Linked DNA regions of Saccharomyces cerevisiae S288C. The protein of the gene in region 2 purifies or fractionates together with the protein of the main gene of each other region. This does not show direct contact. Each region holds a gene or a part of one and is shown on either strand. Other genes may lie near its edges.

Region 1 (4,372 bases), on a different chromosome or scaffold from region 2:
GTCAATGTTTTCCTTTGTGGGGGAGACGAAATATATGGCAGGGACATCTGGCAAGGGAGATCTGTCTTGTTTAATCAAGGAATGAACGGTGATACCAGCTTTCAGCAGGTCATTGACTCTGAGAACAGAAGATATGGTAGCAGTGCTCTTGATGTCCAGTATCAACACCTTCCAGATGATCTCCTGCTGGTTAAAAATATCGTCTGTGATGGTGGTGATGTTGTCGTTGTTGTTCAAATCCTTATTTAAAAACAGCATTTTTAATATGGCAGAGATTTGCATATCTCTTAAACTAATGTCCTTGCGGGACGCAATTTCCTCCACAGCCATGATGTTGTGATTTTTGGTCAAAGATACTTAGCAACTGGCAATGACTATTATAAGTTATCATGTCAGGTTATTAAAGGCTGAGTTAGAATGGTGCTTCTTTTTTTTGTTTTTTTTTTGTCGTTTCTGCAATTACTGTGGTCAACGCGAAGAGGGAAACGGTGTTCTTTGGCAAAAATTGGTATGATATTTTATATAATAAATGTATATATACAAAATATGATGATGATGATAGTGACTGGAAAAAATATGTTACATAGAATTTTTGTATCTGACTACTATTACTACTAGTATTCGTGTTCTTGTTATTATTATTATTATTATTATTTTTTATTACTGTGGTGTTTCTTTCAAAGTGGATCTACCTGCCCTTAACAATTCATCGCATAATAACAAGTTGCTGGCAATACCTGTAGCACCGGTAATAGCATTTCTTAGTACGCGGTAGGAATCCCAAATACCCTCGATGGTAGGGTCGCAAGAATCACCTATGTTCAAGTCCACACCAACATATCTCGTTTCGTCAGAATCCTGAGCGTCATCCAACTCGTCCTCCACCATTGCGAGCACGTCCAATGGGTCGAATCCTGAGTTCTTCACCAAAGTCTTTGGAATTACCAGCAATGCTTCTGCGAACGCCTCAATACCTGTCTTTGTTTTACCCTTGGCACCCAACTTGTTCATGTTGGCAGATCTTAGGTATCTCGAAAGGGCGATGTAGAACGCACCAGCGCCTGGAATGATGTTTTTGTCCTTGAGAACGTTTGCCACAGCTCTGAGACCATCTCTCACCGCATCCTTTGTTTGAGCGAGGGCATAATGAGTGGAGCCCTTGATTAAGATGGTGCAAGACTTGGGGTCAGTGTTCTCTGTAACGTATGTGAATTTTTCCTCGCCTATGGTTTCTTGGTAGACCAAGCCAGAAAACCCAAGAATCTGAGGCGACAAGTCTTCCACAGAGTTCTGAGCTTCACCGCCAGTGACCAATTGCAATCTTTCCATGTTACGTCTCTTGGCCCTTCTCAAAGCCAAGATGTTGTGTTTGGCAAACACGTCTAAAGACATGGGGTCAATGCCTTTTTGGTTAATGATAACAAAACCCTTGTCTGGATCCATGCCACAAACTTCGTTTTTCAAGTCGATGATCTTCTTCAACTTGGCATCCACAAACTTCCTCTCACTAGCGGCCAACTTGTCCCTTTGGTCCGCAGAACTGTAAAAGAACCCAGAGTTAACTTCAGTCTTCTCGTATTCCAAAGATACGTTCAAAATCAAAACATACGCGTTCTTCACACGGGTGGGCATGTCAGGATGCCTACCACCGTGGTCCAATACCAAACCCTTAATAAAAGTGGTATCTTTAGGAGACAAGTGCTGCATCTGCATGATCTCAACCATGTGTAAATCCAAATTGTCAGCCTGCGCGTCGTACACGCTTAGCACCGCATCCGTTACAATGGGCGTCAAGACCTCCGTCAAGTCAGCGTCCACCTTGGTTAGCAGCGACGACCGGGCCACTTGCAGAAGGAACTCTCTATCATTGGAAAGGTTCGTCTTACTGATCTTGAATTCGTCCAAAAATTTCATGGACTCCTTCCGCGCAATCTCAAACCCATCAGTGATGATCCGCGGATGCACGCCCTCTTGAATGAAACGGTGCGCTTGTCTAAGCAATTCACCCACAAGACACACAACCGTCGTGGTCCCATCGCCCGTGATTTCATCCTGCGCGGCAGCTGCCCTAGCAATCAGTACCGCTGTAGGCGACTGGATCTGCATCTCGGTCAGCAACACTTTACCGTCCTTGGTCAGCTTGATGTTACCAGCACCATCCACAAGCATCTTTAGCGTGCCCTTAGGGCCCAAGTTGGTCTCTAGGACGGATTGTAAGCCCTCAGCAGATGTGACGTTAACCTTCAAAGCCGCATCCCTTCTCAACGATTCAGCCTTCGGATTCAACAATTGCAATGACATGCTTCTACTCTACTTATATTATAATCTTCTGCTTCTCACTGCTTCCACACCCTTAACCTTTACCTTTTCCACACACTGCACACATACACTGTTATACATAATCCTTTCCGTCTTTCGTTCGTTTCTTACCAGAATAACAACTACTAACACATCACCGAGCGAAAATTTTGCCACCAAAGCAAAACTCCCGTAAACAGTGATCCACGGCCCGTATCCATTCTGCCGCAGAACCCACACCTCTCACTCTATCGAAAAACAGCCTACTCCCAGGGTCCCCAAAATGAAAGCTCACTGCAATGGGAAACGATAATCACAACAAGGGAATGCAATTAAAGAAAGATATACGGTACACGAAAGGGAGAAGCGACGGCGTTAACCTATTTGCAAACGACCGAGTCAGACAGCTCAGGTCCAGTCACGTTAAAGTGGGTTACTTTGAGCTGAGGTGTGCGGTTGCGGGGCGTGGGTGTGCGCGCCGTTGCCATGCTTACCGTTCTCGTTGCGCTCGTTGCTCGTATTGCCTCGTCTGTTCTTGTCTCGTAGCTTTTTTATTATTTGGGTTAATCGCGTTGTTGAACAAGAAAGTATGATAGTTGTTGAACCGGCCCCTCGTCCCGTTCTATCTTTCTACGGGTGTCGTGTCTATTATTTTATTGTTTTCCTACTAAGGTTCTTTGCTATTGTTCTTTTAATTTTTGGTTTGTAGCTGACTACACGTTTCAAACCCAATCTTGGCAGCCCGGATCTTCATCACTCAGCTTTTCCCTACTTTTTTTTTTTTTCGTTTCCTTTTTCTTCTTTTCTTTTTCTATTTAAGAGAGAAGTTGGCGAACTTGAAGTACACATACACGCTCTCCCTCGCATCCCGGAGCTCGCAATCAACCACTATTACTAATCACATCCTAAATTTTGGGAAGCCTACACTACGATGGACACTGTCGGTACGGACGCAGCAGCCGCGAGCATTAATGAGCGTCGCTTTGCCCAGTCCACTTCACCAAAAGTTAGTGTGAAGTCACAGGACTCGCTGTTTCTGATCACTTACTCCAACATGCAGCAGACAGTGGTACAAGCGTCTTTGGCGGACCGGTACCCTTCGCTAAAGAAGCTTAACATCCTACTTTACATAGATATCCCTACGATCGACTACTACAACGATGAGATGACTCATAACAAGCTTTCCAGACTGAATAAACGGTTTAAGCTGCATCGGCTTAGAAATTCGATCGCGCAAAGTTTTTCCAACACATCTACTGCGGAAGATAACGATAAGTTTTGGGAGGAGTTGAAAAGTCTGATCAGCTCTCGCAGCACACCGGAAAACAAGTTTGATCTGAATGTACTGGTGTCGTCTTCGGGGTCTTTACGTTACGTGGAGACCATAAGATTTTTGGTTGAAAAATTGTTTAATTCTTTCAAAGACTTGTATGTTCAAAAGAAACTAAACCTATGTTTCCAGATCAACGTTTCTCCCACCTCTCTCAAGTGGTTTTCTACTTTCCTGAACGCAGAACTGCTTAATTTAAAAATCATTAATTGGCAGAATATTGGTTCTTTCACTAAGACAATCCAGAACTCCAAGTCACTCCCGTTCAAAGAGTACTACACCAAGTTGAACGAGAAATTCACCGGCTCAAACCAGAGCAATGGTAGCATGCAAGACCAGACTGTCTTGGATTCCATAGTTATTGTCACGAATAGCACGGGGGTAAAAGCACTGCTGACTTTGTTGTCAGACCACCCTCTCACCAGCCTTATCTCCCAGGAATCAATAAAAGCGCTACATGAATATTCAGATGCTGTTAACGAAGATAAGGGCGACGACCAGAGCAACACAAGTTTGAAAAGAAACTCTTCGTCGTTGTTGAATTTTCAAAACTCGGTTTTAACCTCCAATAAAGACAAGTCCGTCAGAATTAGGTCGTTGTCTATCAACAGAAAATCCAACAGGGCACATATGTTCAAAACGAACGAATCCATCACAACTATCCCATCAACGTCAATCAACAATCTTATTGGTCAGGAATCCAACCTACGCAAGCAGCCTTCGGGAACTGCACTGCATTTACAA
Region 2 (4,144 bases):
AAACAGTGGCAAAAATGCAATACTTGGAAAGCTCAGACGACAGTACGGCGATCGCGATGTCCAAGAACGGCTCTTTGGCATGGTTCAGAGATGAGATCAAGGTTCCCGTTCATATCGTACAGGAAATGATGGGCCCTGCTACTAGATACTCTAGTATTCACTCTCTAACCAGACCAGGTTCATTAGCAGTGTCAGATTTTGATGTGTCGACAAATATGGATACGGTAGTAAAGTCACAAAGTAACGGCTACGAGGAGGACAGCATCTTGAAAATCATCGACAACTCCGATAGACCGGGAGATATATTACGTACAGTGCACGTTCCAGGGACCAACGTGGCTCACTCAGTTAGATTTTTTAACAACCATTTATTTGCATCTTGTTCAGATGACAACATTTTAAGATTCTGGGACACAAGAACAGCGGACAAACCGCTTTGGACGCTAAGCGAACCGAAAAATGGACGACTAACGTCCTTCGATTCCTCTCAAGTTACTGAAAACCTATTTGTCACTGGGTTCAGCACGGGTGTCATCAAGCTATGGGATGCGCGTGCTGTGCAACTGGCTACTACTGACCTCACACATAGGCAGAACGGCGAGGAACCGATCCAAAACGAAATAGCCAAGTTGTTCCATTCTGGCGGCGATTCCGTTGTCGATATCCTGTTCTCACAAACCTCTGCAACAGAATTTGTTACGGTTGGAGGAACGGGTAATGTCTACCACTGGGACATGGAGTACTCTTTTTCAAGAAACGACGATGACAACGAAGACGAAGTTCGAGTGGCTGCTCCGGAGGAACTTCAGGGTCAATGTTTAAAATTTTTCCACACAGGTGGCACAAGAAGATCGAGCAACCAATTCGGGAAGAGGAACACTGTGGCGCTACACCCCGTAATCAATGATTTTGTTGGCACTGTTGATTCAGATAGTCTTGTTACTGCCTACAAACCATTTCTGGCCAGTGACTTCATTGGCAGAGGTTACGACGATTAAAAAAAAAAAAGAGTAAGAAATTAACGTTACCACCTATGGGAAAGGCAGTAACTCACAAGCATTCACGTACATAATTCTGTTTTTTTTTTTTTTATTCATTTCTAGCACGCTATCGGGGTTATTTTTTTTTTTGTAATATATAGTGATGGTATAATGTTGTATAGATACTGGTATCGCTCCTAATAAAGACTCTTTCAGATTTCTGAAGCCAACGAAGTAAGGCCTCAAGAAAAGAGGGTTACCAGTAATTAACCAAGCAATTTCTTTTTTTTCTTTCCAGCAAAGAAATAAGACAAAAACCGGCTATATGGAGAAGAGGGAGGATCTAATGGTGACATAGTCCATTTCAAGATTCCCTCTTTCGTTTCTCGGATGAAGCTCGATGTTTACAATTCAGAATCTTAAAAGGCTGTCGCTAAGAAAGACCCAGAGGCACATGCAAGATAGTTGTGCCTGTACCACGTGAGAAGGCGGTATTCAATATGCGGTGCTGTGCTGGCTTCCCTTTTTGGAACGCGCCGGGGTATAACAAAGAAAGGCTAAGTCATACAATAGGCAAAAGACCTTTGTCTTTCCTTTTTTTCCTCTTTCCTAACATACGGTGGTTTATGTACTATCCCTTATGTAATTGCTTAGCTATACACAGTGAGCACACATAGTGGCGCTCACTACTCCCTTTTAATTTCAACTCGTAGATAGTTGGGCTATTTTCCTTCGAATCCTCGTTTATCATCTCATATTTAAGAGTACCATTTCGGGGCTTTTTTTTACCTTTTCCTTTTCCATGCAGTCTGTCCCCTTAATGTTCTATGTTTTTTTTTTTTTTTTTTCAGTTCTGTAGCTTCCAGTATAAAGGGAGGGAAAAAAGAAGATCCGAAAAGTTTATATTCGCCTGAATTGTAGATATTAGATAAGAAAATTAATTATTAATCAACCAATCTTGAAAGATACAAATAAATTGTAACACACTATACATTACAACCAAAAATGCCAAAAAAGGTTTGGAAATCATCTACGCCTTCCACTTATGAACATATCTCCAGCTTAAGACCAAAATTTGTGTCTCGTGTGGACAATGTTCTGCACCAAAGGAAGTCCTTGACGTTCAGCAACGTTGTTGTTCCAGATAAAAAAAATAACACTCTAACCTCAAGTGTTATATACTCTCAAGGTAGTGATATCTACGAAATTGACTTCGCTGTACCACTACAAGAAGCCGCTTCAGAACCGGTGAAAGACTATGGTGACGCCTTTGAAGGTATTGAAAACACCTCGTTGAGCCCAAAATTCGTGTACCAGGGTGAAACTGTCTCCAAAATGGCCTACTTAGATAAGACTGGAGAAACTACATTATTGTCGATGTCTAAGAACGGGTCGTTGGCTTGGTTCAAAGAGGGTATAAAGGTCCCTATTCACATTGTACAGGAATTGATGGGTCCAGCAACCAGCTATGCCAGCATCCATTCTTTAACCAGACCTGGTGATCTACCTGAAAAGGATTTCTCATTAGCCATCTCTGACTTCGGCATTTCCAATGATACCGAAACCATTGTGAAGTCTCAGAGTAATGGTGATGAAGAAGACAGTATTTTGAAAATCATTGACAATGCCGGTAAGCCTGGTGAGATTCTACGTACTGTTCATGTGCCTGGTACCACTGTGACTCACACCGTAAGATTTTTCGACAATCATATCTTTGCGTCTTGTTCAGATGACAATATTCTGAGGTTCTGGGACACTAGAACTTCCGACAAGCCTATATGGGTGTTGGGAGAACCAAAGAACGGAAAATTGACCTCGTTTGATTGCTCTCAGGTTTCCAACAACTTGTTTGTTACCGGTTTCAGTACGGGTATTATCAAGTTATGGGATGCCAGAGCGGCTGAAGCTGCCACCACTGATTTGACTTATAGACAAAACGGTGAAGATCCAATTCAGAATGAAATCGCTAACTTCTATCATGCCGGCGGTGATTCTGTTGTCGACGTCCAATTTTCTGCCACTTCAAGCTCTGAATTCTTTACTGTGGGCGGCACTGGTAATATTTACCACTGGAACACTGACTATTCCTTGTCAAAGTACAATCCTGACGATACCATTGCTCCTCCTCAAGATGCCACTGAAGAATCACAAACAAAATCTCTGAGATTCTTGCACAAGGGTGGAAGCAGAAGATCTCCAAAACAGATTGGAAGAAGAAACACCGCCGCTTGGCATCCAGTTATTGAAAACTTGGTTGGTACTGTCGATGACGATAGTTTAGTCAGCATCTACAAGCCCTATACCGAGGAAAGCGAATAGTCGCCATGCTAAACGCGCGGAACAAGGCCATATTTATATATTTAATGCTTTTAACTATTATTAGTTTTTCTCACCCAGGGCTGGTTTCTTTACCCTGTGTGATGAAAGTGCGCGCCTAAAGTTATGTATGAGCTACTGTTAGTATATTTATTATTCAATATTTAATTAAACAATACTTACTACTGATGAAAGATACCGTACACCTGCTGGCGAATAAGTCACTATACACGAGCAATTATATTTCTCAGGTCATTGCGACAATTGAAAAATCGGATCGACTGATTATCATTAAGGCGTGTGACGGCTCAGAATAAGGAAGTTCTATTTTAAAGGGCAGCAAAAATTTGGCACAATTTAAAAAGAAAGTTGGTCTCTGGTAGGGTTGGATCCGGTTTTTCATAACTTGCGTTTCATTTATGGTTGCGTATTTCTCGCAGTGTACATAGACCAAATTAACTCTATCCTTCCATTGCACAATTTGCCCAGTATGGCTTCACTGTTCAGACCCCCAGAATCTGCGAAATGCAACCCAAACTCTCCTAGACTTAAACTGCCCCTCTTACGAAATAATCAGGTAGATGAAAATAATATATACTTGACGTCGAATGGGAGTTCCACCACAGCTTACAGTAGCCACACCCCAGAACCACTGACCTCTTCCACATCGACACTTTTCTCCCAAACTCGACTTCATCCTAGCGACTCTTCAATGACTTTAAATACAATGAAGAAGAGGCCTGCACCGCCATCTTTACCTTCGCTCAGCATAAATTCACAGTCTAAGTGCAAAACACTACCCGAACTCGTACCCATCGCCGATGTGTCTGATGGTAAACATGATTTAG
Region 3 (3,944 bases), on a different chromosome or scaffold from region 2:
TCTTCATCGTCGTTAAATTCCACGTCACCTTCCATAACGTGACCATATTGGCAGGTTCTTCTCCCATCAATGATACGCCAAAGCCGTGAGGGGCAGTTGTCTGTACCGCAGATGGGACCTCTTATGAAAGTAGACATCCTTAAGTGATGTAGGGGTATGTCCGAGTAGTTCGTTCAACTATTTTTAAAGACACATCGTTCCAGGTTTATATTCATATACATATGTATGTATTGTATAGGTTTTTTTATTTTTTATTTTTTATTTTTTTTTTTTTTTTTTTCAATTTTTTTAAGCTTTTCTTACTTTTCCGATGCCCTTTCCACTTTAATCAATATACGTATGAAATTCAGCCGAAGTTTCCGTTTGATAATATATTAGATTCAATATAAAAAAAAGTTTATATGATTCAGTGTATATATATATATATAAATAAGAGGTGCGAAAGCCCACATAAAGAGATTGAAGAGACTGCGTAAAAAGAAATATATAGAGAGATACTCTTAAAAGTCTTCGTTGAAGGTGAAAGCACCGGCTTCTTGCTTAGTCGACTTGGACATAACACCAGCCTTTTGGTAGTCAGAAACTCTCTTTTCGAAGAAGTTGGTCTTACCGGCCAAGGAGATGTTTTCCATGAAATCGAAGGGGTTTTCGACCTTGTAGTATTTCTTGTTACCGAAAGCAACCAACAGTCTGTCGGCGACGAACTCAACGTATTGGTTCATTAAGTCAGCGTTCATACCTAGCAAAGCAACTGGTAAGGCGTCCAAGAAGTATCTTTGTTCAATTTCCACAGCCTCGGTGACAATTTTTTCAACAATGGCTGGGTCTGGTTTGTTCTTCAAATGGGCGAACAACAAGCATGCAAAGTCGGTGTGCAAACCTTCGTCTCTACAGATCAATTCGTTGGAAAAGGTTAAACCGGGCATCATACCTCTCTTTTTCAACCAGAAAATGGAGGCAAAGGAACCGGAGAAAAAGACACCTTCAATGGAGGCAAAGGCAACTAGTCTTTCACCAAACAAGGCGTCAGCGTCTTGAATCCATCTTAAAGCCCATTCGGCCTTCTCACCGATTTCTGGGATGGTGTGAATGGCATTGAACAAGAATTCACTTTCTTTAGGGTCCTTGATGTAAGTATCGATCAACAAGGAGTAAGTTTCAGAGTGAATATTTTCAATCATGATTTGGAAACCGTAGAAACTCTTTGCCTCTGGAATTTGGACTTCGGTGGAGAAGTTTTCAACCAAGTTTTCATTAACAATACCGTCAGAAGCGGCGAAAAAGGCAAGAACTCTGGAAATGAAAAATCTCTCGTTTTCGTTCATTCTGTTGTTCCAGTCATGGATATCCTTAGACAAATCAATTTCTTCAGCGGTCCAGAAAGAAGCTTCGGCACGCTTGTAGGCTTGCCAGATTTCATGGTACTTGATAGGGAAAAGAACAGTTCTCTCCTTGTCTTCATTCAACAAAGGTTCCTCCTTTTCCATTTCCTTAAGTTTGTGACGGTGAACTTGATGAGATTTCAAGTAAGCCTTGTGATTTTCAGCGTCCTTGCTCAATTTCTCCTTAAGCATGTCTGACTTTACTCTGTTTTCCTCTCTCAATGTCTCCAATTCCTTGTTAAGGTTGGACTTGGAATCTTTGATTTCCAAGTCGGACAATGCATCGGCAGCAGCTTTGGAAGGGGTCTCTTTAGGCATGGTAATTGGACAAATAAATACGTGTATTAAGTTTGGATTCTTTGGTAGATAGCCAATCGAGGGAACAATTAAAAAAAAGAAAGAAATAAAAGACAAGAAGAAGAGCGAAAAAGGGGAAAGTGATGAGGAAAAGAACAATAGATAGATCCAGAAGATGATGGTAACGCGCAAACACTACCGCTATATATACCTACAAAACTCTCATTCTCTCATTTCCTGCTTCGTTCATTTCGAGTTTCCAAGGGTATGGTACGGTGCTATCTGCCCGTGCTTCCCCTCCTTTGCTTTGCTAAGAAAAATTTTCTTTTGTCAGCAGCAACAACACGCTACGCTCTGCGCTGTGCTACGAAGTGGTCTCTGTGGCAACGGGGACATTGTACCCATGCCCGCTCGCAGGGAGGTCTGGGTGTGGGGCGTGTGCGACCTCGTTGCCATGGCGATCGCGCGTGGGTGTGGTCTTTCCCCAAACGGTTGCCCGTTGCTCCGGATTTCGCATAGTTGTCGCGTAAACAAAAAACACGAGAGAGGGCGGACGGCGCTGAATAGTGGAAGATCGCGCGATGTCAAGTAAATAAGCTTGTATTTGTATTTGTATGTGTTTATGTGTTTGTGTGGTTGAGAATTTTATTTTCCTCCTAGTTTTTTCTTTTTTGAGTGCGGAGGGGCAGTGCTCTAAACTTTGCCTGCTTCTTGTTCGACTTCGGCTTCCTATGCAGAACGCAAAATCGCGTGCGCGAGGAACGAGGAAGACAACGCTTTAGATTGGCTTTTTCGTCGCCCATGCCCGTTGCGATAGCGATATGATGAGAAATCGATAAAAGGTTGCACCAGTACACCGCACTTTCTGGCGTGCTTGGATCTGGCTTGCGCGGCCTCGTGCCAGTAAGTAGAAAAGTAGTAATATGGCATGGCGAAAGAGAACAAAACAAGCAAAGCAAGCGTAATGCACAGCTGTGGCTAAAAAAAGAGCACAGAGGTGAAGGGAAAAAAAGATAAAGAAATTAAGGAGGTTGAGAGGGCTTGTGTGTCGATGCTTGGTGAGGCGGGACGTAACGGTTTTTTGTCTGTAGGCACTTCTACCCCACAGGGCCATGAATCTGGCCCGAAACCGTTGCGAGCGTGCCAATTGGTGGTGATATCTTTTTTCTTCCCTTTTTTTTTGTTTTCCGTTCTGTTATGTTCCTTCATCTTGAATTCACTAAAGGGAACAGAAGAAAAAGTTGGATATTAGATAAGCGGTACTTTTCTACAGGTCTAGTATTATTCCTCGGTTGGAACAAGAAATAGTGCTTCAGTAGCTCAGTAGGAAGAGCGTCAGTCTCATAATCTGAAGGTCGAGAGTTCGAACCTCCCCTGGAGCATATTTTTATACGTATATCTTTTTTCCCTCTATTTTGTTTTTTTTTTCTTTGTTTTTTCGTAGCTAGTAAAGAAGAGAAGGAGACCTAAAGTGTATATATACTTAATCTGCGATCATTGAAAAGTCGCTAGCTTATTGTCACTTACTGCATTTTCACAACATCTTCCATTTTTGTTTTCTCAGAAGGACAATGCTGGAAGGTACGGTAGATTATGACCCGCTGGAAGATATTACCAATATACTTTTTTCAAAAGAATCCCTGAACAACATAGATGAACTGATCAGTATTACCAGAAGCTACAAAAAGCAATTGCAAGAGGATATTCTCAAAGAAGAGAATGAATTGAAGGAACACCCTAAAAATTCCGCTGAAATAGAGGCTTCTCTGAGGAAAGTTTTCCAAGATTTCAAAGAAACTCAAGATGTCTCAGCCTCCACCGAGTTGACGATATCGAATCTGACAGAAGGTATCTCGTACCTGGACATTGCCAAGAAAAACCTCACCCACTCTTTGACTCTTTTCCAAAATTTAAAGATATTGACAGACAGTTACATACAATGCAATGAATTACTCTCACAGGGCTCATTCAAAAAAATGGTGTCCCCTTATAAGATAATGTGTTCGCTTGCTGAAAACACATTCATCTCTTACAAATCATTGGACGAGATAAACTATTTGTTGAGCTCCATTTCAAGACTGAAAGGAGACACTTTGTCCAAAATTAAACAAAACTACAATGCGCTCTTTTCCGGCGGCAATATCTCAGAGCATGATACAGCACTCACTATGGAATTGCGCGAAGGTGCCTGCGAGCTACTCGACTGCGATACAAGTACGAGAGCCCAGATGATAGATTGGTGTTTGGACAAACTTCTCTTCGAAA
Region 4 (4,272 bases), on a different chromosome or scaffold from region 2:
TATTGTTTTCCGATAGGATATGCCTCATAGGGCGTGGCCACTACTAGATGGAGTAGTGATATAGTAGCTGTCAGCAATAATGAAATCTGAAGCTGTGTCATGGTAAGTGAATGCTTCTTGATATACGTAGATGTTGGAAGCAGGAAATCGTTTCGAGGAAGATATAATTTTTCTATTAAGTAATTGTTCTGTTCTTCTAGTGATGGTGGCTGTTGCAGTGTCAATCACTACAGGATGTGAGAGTAAAGAATAAGAAAATAAGTTCTCATATGAAAAGTGAAAATTACTCGACAAAGGAGGGCGACTCTCGGCAAGGAGCTTTGAGGTTGTGGAGATGCTATCTTTAACCATACCTACGATGGGTATTATTACATTCTTGAGACAGGGCTCGAGTACTGCTCGAAGAGGAAACATAAGTTGCCAAAATTTATTTGTGACGCGAATTGCCAAAAGTTCTATGACGCGTTGTTCTTTTTTTTTCGCGTCTTTGAATTATATAGTGGATAATTTTTGCGTTCTGTTTCTAATTATAATAATGACAGTGTGGCGGTTTATTATTTTCGAGGTATATCCTAAATATGTTACATATGTTGTCTATTGGCGGTTCTTGGTCTTGCACGGATGATGTTATCCACCCTTAGTAGAACTTCAGCGGCTTCAGATGCAGAGCTGACTACTGCTCGTTTTAGCTTGTAACTCTCGACGATACCTAACTGTCTCATGTCGGCAATGGTTCCGTTGTTGAGATCTAAACCTGAGGTGGAGATACCGTTGTATATGGAGGATCTTAGTTTGGACACAAGTTCGCTGCTGTCAAAACCAGCATTATCTGCCAAAATGGTTGGCAGTTGTCTCAGAGCACGGGCAAAAGCCTCCACGGCAAGGGACTTCTTTCCGTCGATGTTTTGAGCTTCGGTGTCCACAGCTTTTGACATGACCATCTCGGCGCAACCGCCGCCAAGAACAGTTCTTGTTTCCTTTGTGGTCTGTGACAACACGGACAATGCGTCATGCAGGGATCTCTCAGCTTCATCAAGCGTTTGGTCGGTAGCACCTCTTAGGACGATGGTACAAGCTTCACCAGCTTTGCAACCACTAAACTTCAAGAATGGCTGTTCACCAAGCATAATTTCCTCGATCACGTCACATTCTCCCAGTTTGCATTTACTTGGCTCGTCAAATGTAGACACCACCTCACCGCCTGTAACCAGGGCGAGCCTTTCTACACCTTCAAAATCAGCATGCTCAATTGAGTTTATGCCCAAATCTGTAAATAATTGCTCTGGATAGTCATAAATTAGTTGTCTATTGATGAAAGTGTTGATACCAAACTTGGAAATCTTGGCAATTTTATTCTTCATCTTTTCACGTTCTGCCTTTTCTAGTTGTGCCAATTTAGCAGTAGAATCGACTTTGAATTTGGTGCCGAATATTTTGACCTTGTCTGTATCCAAAGTTGTATTGGCGATTAGAATCTTAGCATTTTCAATTCTCTTGGGTTGGTTGTTACCAAATTTTTTGGCAAGAATGAAACCTTCGTCAAGGAACGAATCTGATAGCTTTCCACCAAGAATCTTAATGATCTGAATATGTTCTAAGTTAGTGGAGCCCTTCAATCTCAAAATAGCATTAGTTGCTAATTCTGCGAAGTGATCCTTATCCTGAGACAAAATTTTGGAAGATAAAGTAGTCTTGGCAATATGGATCAGATCTTCACGGAACATGGTCTTATCATGAGAGTTGTCAACAGCCGCTTTCGTTAACGCATCCAATGCGGCTGCTGAAGCTAGTCGGTAACCTTCAATAATAGTTTGAGGGTGGATTTTGGATTGATCAATCAACTTCTCTGCTTCTCTAAGCAACTCTGCGCTCAAAACAGTAACACTAGTGGTACCATCTCCAACTTCGTCATCCTGCACCTTACTGATGTTCACCAACACTTTGGCTGCGGGATTATCCAGCGGAATTGACTTCAGAATCGTAGCACCATCGTTTGTTACCATGCAAGTGTTACTGGACGCACTTTGCAATAATTTATCCATCCCTTTTGGGCCTAATGTGCTTTTCACCAAATCACCCACGGCAATGGCACCGACAAACGCCGACAAACGGGCGTTTTCCGCTCTTTCTTCTGTAACCTGGTCTCCAAATATCTGTACACTCATCCTGAATCTTTTGAGCTTTGTACGACTGACTCTTCTTGCCTATTTAATGGCCACCTTTCATCCTCTTTTTTATTGCTCTGCTCTTGTCTTTTAAACTCGCCACCGCGAAGAGAAAAAAATTTCAGATCGTTAGAAACGAGGTTTTTCTTCTAAGAAGTATAAGGAAAAAGGTCCTTAGTAAGGATAGATAATAGTAATGATATCTACATTATTTAGTAAAAGTAGCATCTACTGACGTTGGAATCAGTGGAAGATAAATCATGACGGACGTTGAAGGCTACCAACCTAAGAGCAAGGGGAAAATCTTTCCAGATATGGGTGAGTCCTTTTTCTCATCAGATGAGGATTCACCAGCTACTGATGCAGAGATCGATGAGAACTATGATGATAACAGGGAAACGTCAGAAGGACGTGGAGAAAGGGATACCGGCGCCATGGTAACAGGGTTGAAGAAGCCTCGGAAAAAGACCAAGAGTAGCAGGCATACAGCGGCGGATTCCTCTATGAATCAAATGGACGCTAAGGATAAAGCGCTTTTGCAGGACACTAATAGCGATATACCAGCAGATTTCGTTCCAGATTCCGTCTCTGGAATGTTCAGAAGCCATGACTTTAGTTATTTGCGGTTAAGACCAGACCATGCTTCCAGGCCCCTTTGGATCTCGCCAAGTGACGGTAGGATCATTCTGGAGAGTTTCTCTCCATTAGCAGAACAGGCTCAGGACTTTCTGGTCACCATTGCAGAGCCTATAAGTAGACCCTCCCATATTCATGAATACAAGATCACAGCATACTCTTTGTATGCAGCTGTTTCTGTAGGGTTGGAGACGGATGATATCATTTCAGTTCTGGATAGATTATCCAAAGTACCCGTTGCTGAATCGATAATCAACTTCATTAAAGGGGCTACCATTTCATACGGTAAAGTGAAACTAGTTATTAAGCATAATAGATATTTCGTGGAGACTACACAAGCAGATATTCTGCAAATGTTGCTGAATGATTCCGTCATCGGGCCCCTAAGAATAGATAGCGATCATCAAGTACAGCCACCAGAGGATGTACTACAGCAACAACTTCAGCAAACCGCTGGAAAACCCGCTACTAATGTTAATCCGAACGATGTGGAAGCCGTGTTTAGTGCAGTTATAGGTGGTGATAATGAGCGGGAAGAAGAAGATGATGATATTGATGCCGTTCACTCCTTTGAAATTGCCAATGAGTCTGTTGAAGTCGTAAAGAAAAGATGTCAAGAAATCGATTATCCCGTGTTGGAAGAATACGACTTTAGAAACGACCATAGAAACCCGGATTTAGATATTGATTTGAAACCTTCCACTCAAATCAGACCCTATCAAGAAAAATCGCTGAGTAAAATGTTTGGTAATGGGCGTGCTCGTTCAGGGATTATTGTTTTGCCATGTGGCGCAGGTAAAACTTTGGTCGGTATTACCGCAGCATGTACTATAAAAAAATCCGTAATTGTTTTATGTACTTCATCAGTCTCCGTCATGCAATGGAGGCAGCAATTTTTACAATGGTGTACCTTACAACCTGAAAATTGTGCTGTTTTCACCTCTGATAATAAGGAAATGTTCCAGACAGAATCCGGTTTGGTTGTTTCCACTTATTCAATGGTGGCAAACACAAGAAACAGGTCTCATGATTCACAAAAAGTTATGGATTTCTTGACCGGTAGGGAATGGGGGTTCATTATTCTTGACGAAGTTCATGTGGTGCCCGCCGCAATGTTCCGTAGGGTGGTCTCCACCATCGCAGCACACGCCAAATTGGGACTGACCGCAACGCTGGTTAGAGAAGATGATAAAATTGGTGATCTGAATTTTTTAATTGGTCCAAAACTTTATGAAGCAAATTGGATGGAATTATCCCAAAAAGGACATATTGCAAATGTCCAATGTGCAGAGGTTTGGTGTCCCATGACAGCAGAATTTTACCAAGAGTATTTAAGAGAAACTGCAAGGAAAAGAATGCTACTGTATATCATGAATCCAACAAAGTTTCAGGCATGCCAATTCTTAATTCAATATCACGAAAGGAGGGGTGATAAGATCATCGTTTTTTCAGATAATGTTTACGCCTTACA

The links.
Region 1: the proteins of WTM1 (region 2) and CCT6 purify together in Saccharomyces cerevisiae (affinity purification with mass spectrometry, with the first as the bait; 2 studies listed by BioGRID). This does not show direct contact.
Region 3: the proteins of WTM1 (region 2) and RNR2 purify together in Saccharomyces cerevisiae (affinity purification with western blotting; 5 studies listed by BioGRID, with this or other methods). This does not show direct contact.
Region 4: the proteins of WTM1 (region 2) and CCT2 purify together in Saccharomyces cerevisiae (affinity purification with mass spectrometry, with the first as the bait; 2 studies listed by BioGRID). This does not show direct contact.

What each region holds. Positions count from the first base shown.
Region 1 is NC_001136.10:834,350-838,721, reverse strand, and holds CCT6 (chaperonin-containing T-complex subunit CCT6), read right to left. Parts: upstream 2,302-4,372; coding exon 661-2,301; downstream 1-660. Other genes in the region: SLY1 (syntaxin-binding protein), read right to left, coding at 1-330; SND1 (Snd1p), read left to right, coding at 3,230-4,372. UniProt on the Saccharomyces cerevisiae protein: Molecular chaperone; assists the folding of proteins upon ATP hydrolysis. Known to play a role, in vitro, in the folding of actin and tubulin. In yeast may play a role in mitotic spindle formation.
Region 2 is NC_001147.6:768,815-772,958, forward strand, and holds WTM1 (transcriptional modulator), read left to right. Parts: upstream 1-1,985; coding exon 1,986-3,299; downstream 3,300-4,144. Other genes in the region: WTM2 (transcriptional modulator), read left to right, coding at 1-998; mitogen-activated protein kinase kinase MKK1, read left to right, coding at 3,787-4,144. UniProt on the Saccharomyces cerevisiae protein: Transcriptional modulator with roles in meiotic regulation and silencing.
Region 3 is NC_001142.9:390,160-394,103, reverse strand, and holds RNR2 (ribonucleotide-diphosphate reductase subunit RNR2), read right to left. Parts: upstream 1,701-3,944; coding exon 501-1,700; downstream 1-500. Other genes in the region: RRN7 (Rrn7p), read right to left, coding at 1-137; YJL027C (uncharacterized protein), read left to right, coding at 1,855-2,271; YJL028W (uncharacterized protein), read right to left, coding at 2,458-2,793; VPS53 (Vps53p), read left to right, coding at 3,251-3,944. UniProt on the Saccharomyces cerevisiae protein: Provides the precursors necessary for DNA synthesis. Catalyzes the biosynthesis of deoxyribonucleotides from the corresponding ribonucleotides. RNR2 provides the diiron-tyrosyl radical center.
Region 4 is NC_001141.2:81,195-85,466, reverse strand, and holds CCT2 (chaperonin-containing T-complex subunit CCT2), read right to left. Parts: upstream 2,166-4,272; coding exon 582-2,165; downstream 1-581. Other genes in the region: AXL2 (Axl2p), read right to left, coding at 1-101; TFIIH/NER complex ATPase/helicase subunit SSL2, read left to right, coding at 2,426-4,272. UniProt on the Saccharomyces cerevisiae protein: Molecular chaperone; assists the folding of proteins upon ATP hydrolysis. Known to play a role, in vitro, in the folding of actin and tubulin. In yeast may play a role in mitotic spindle formation.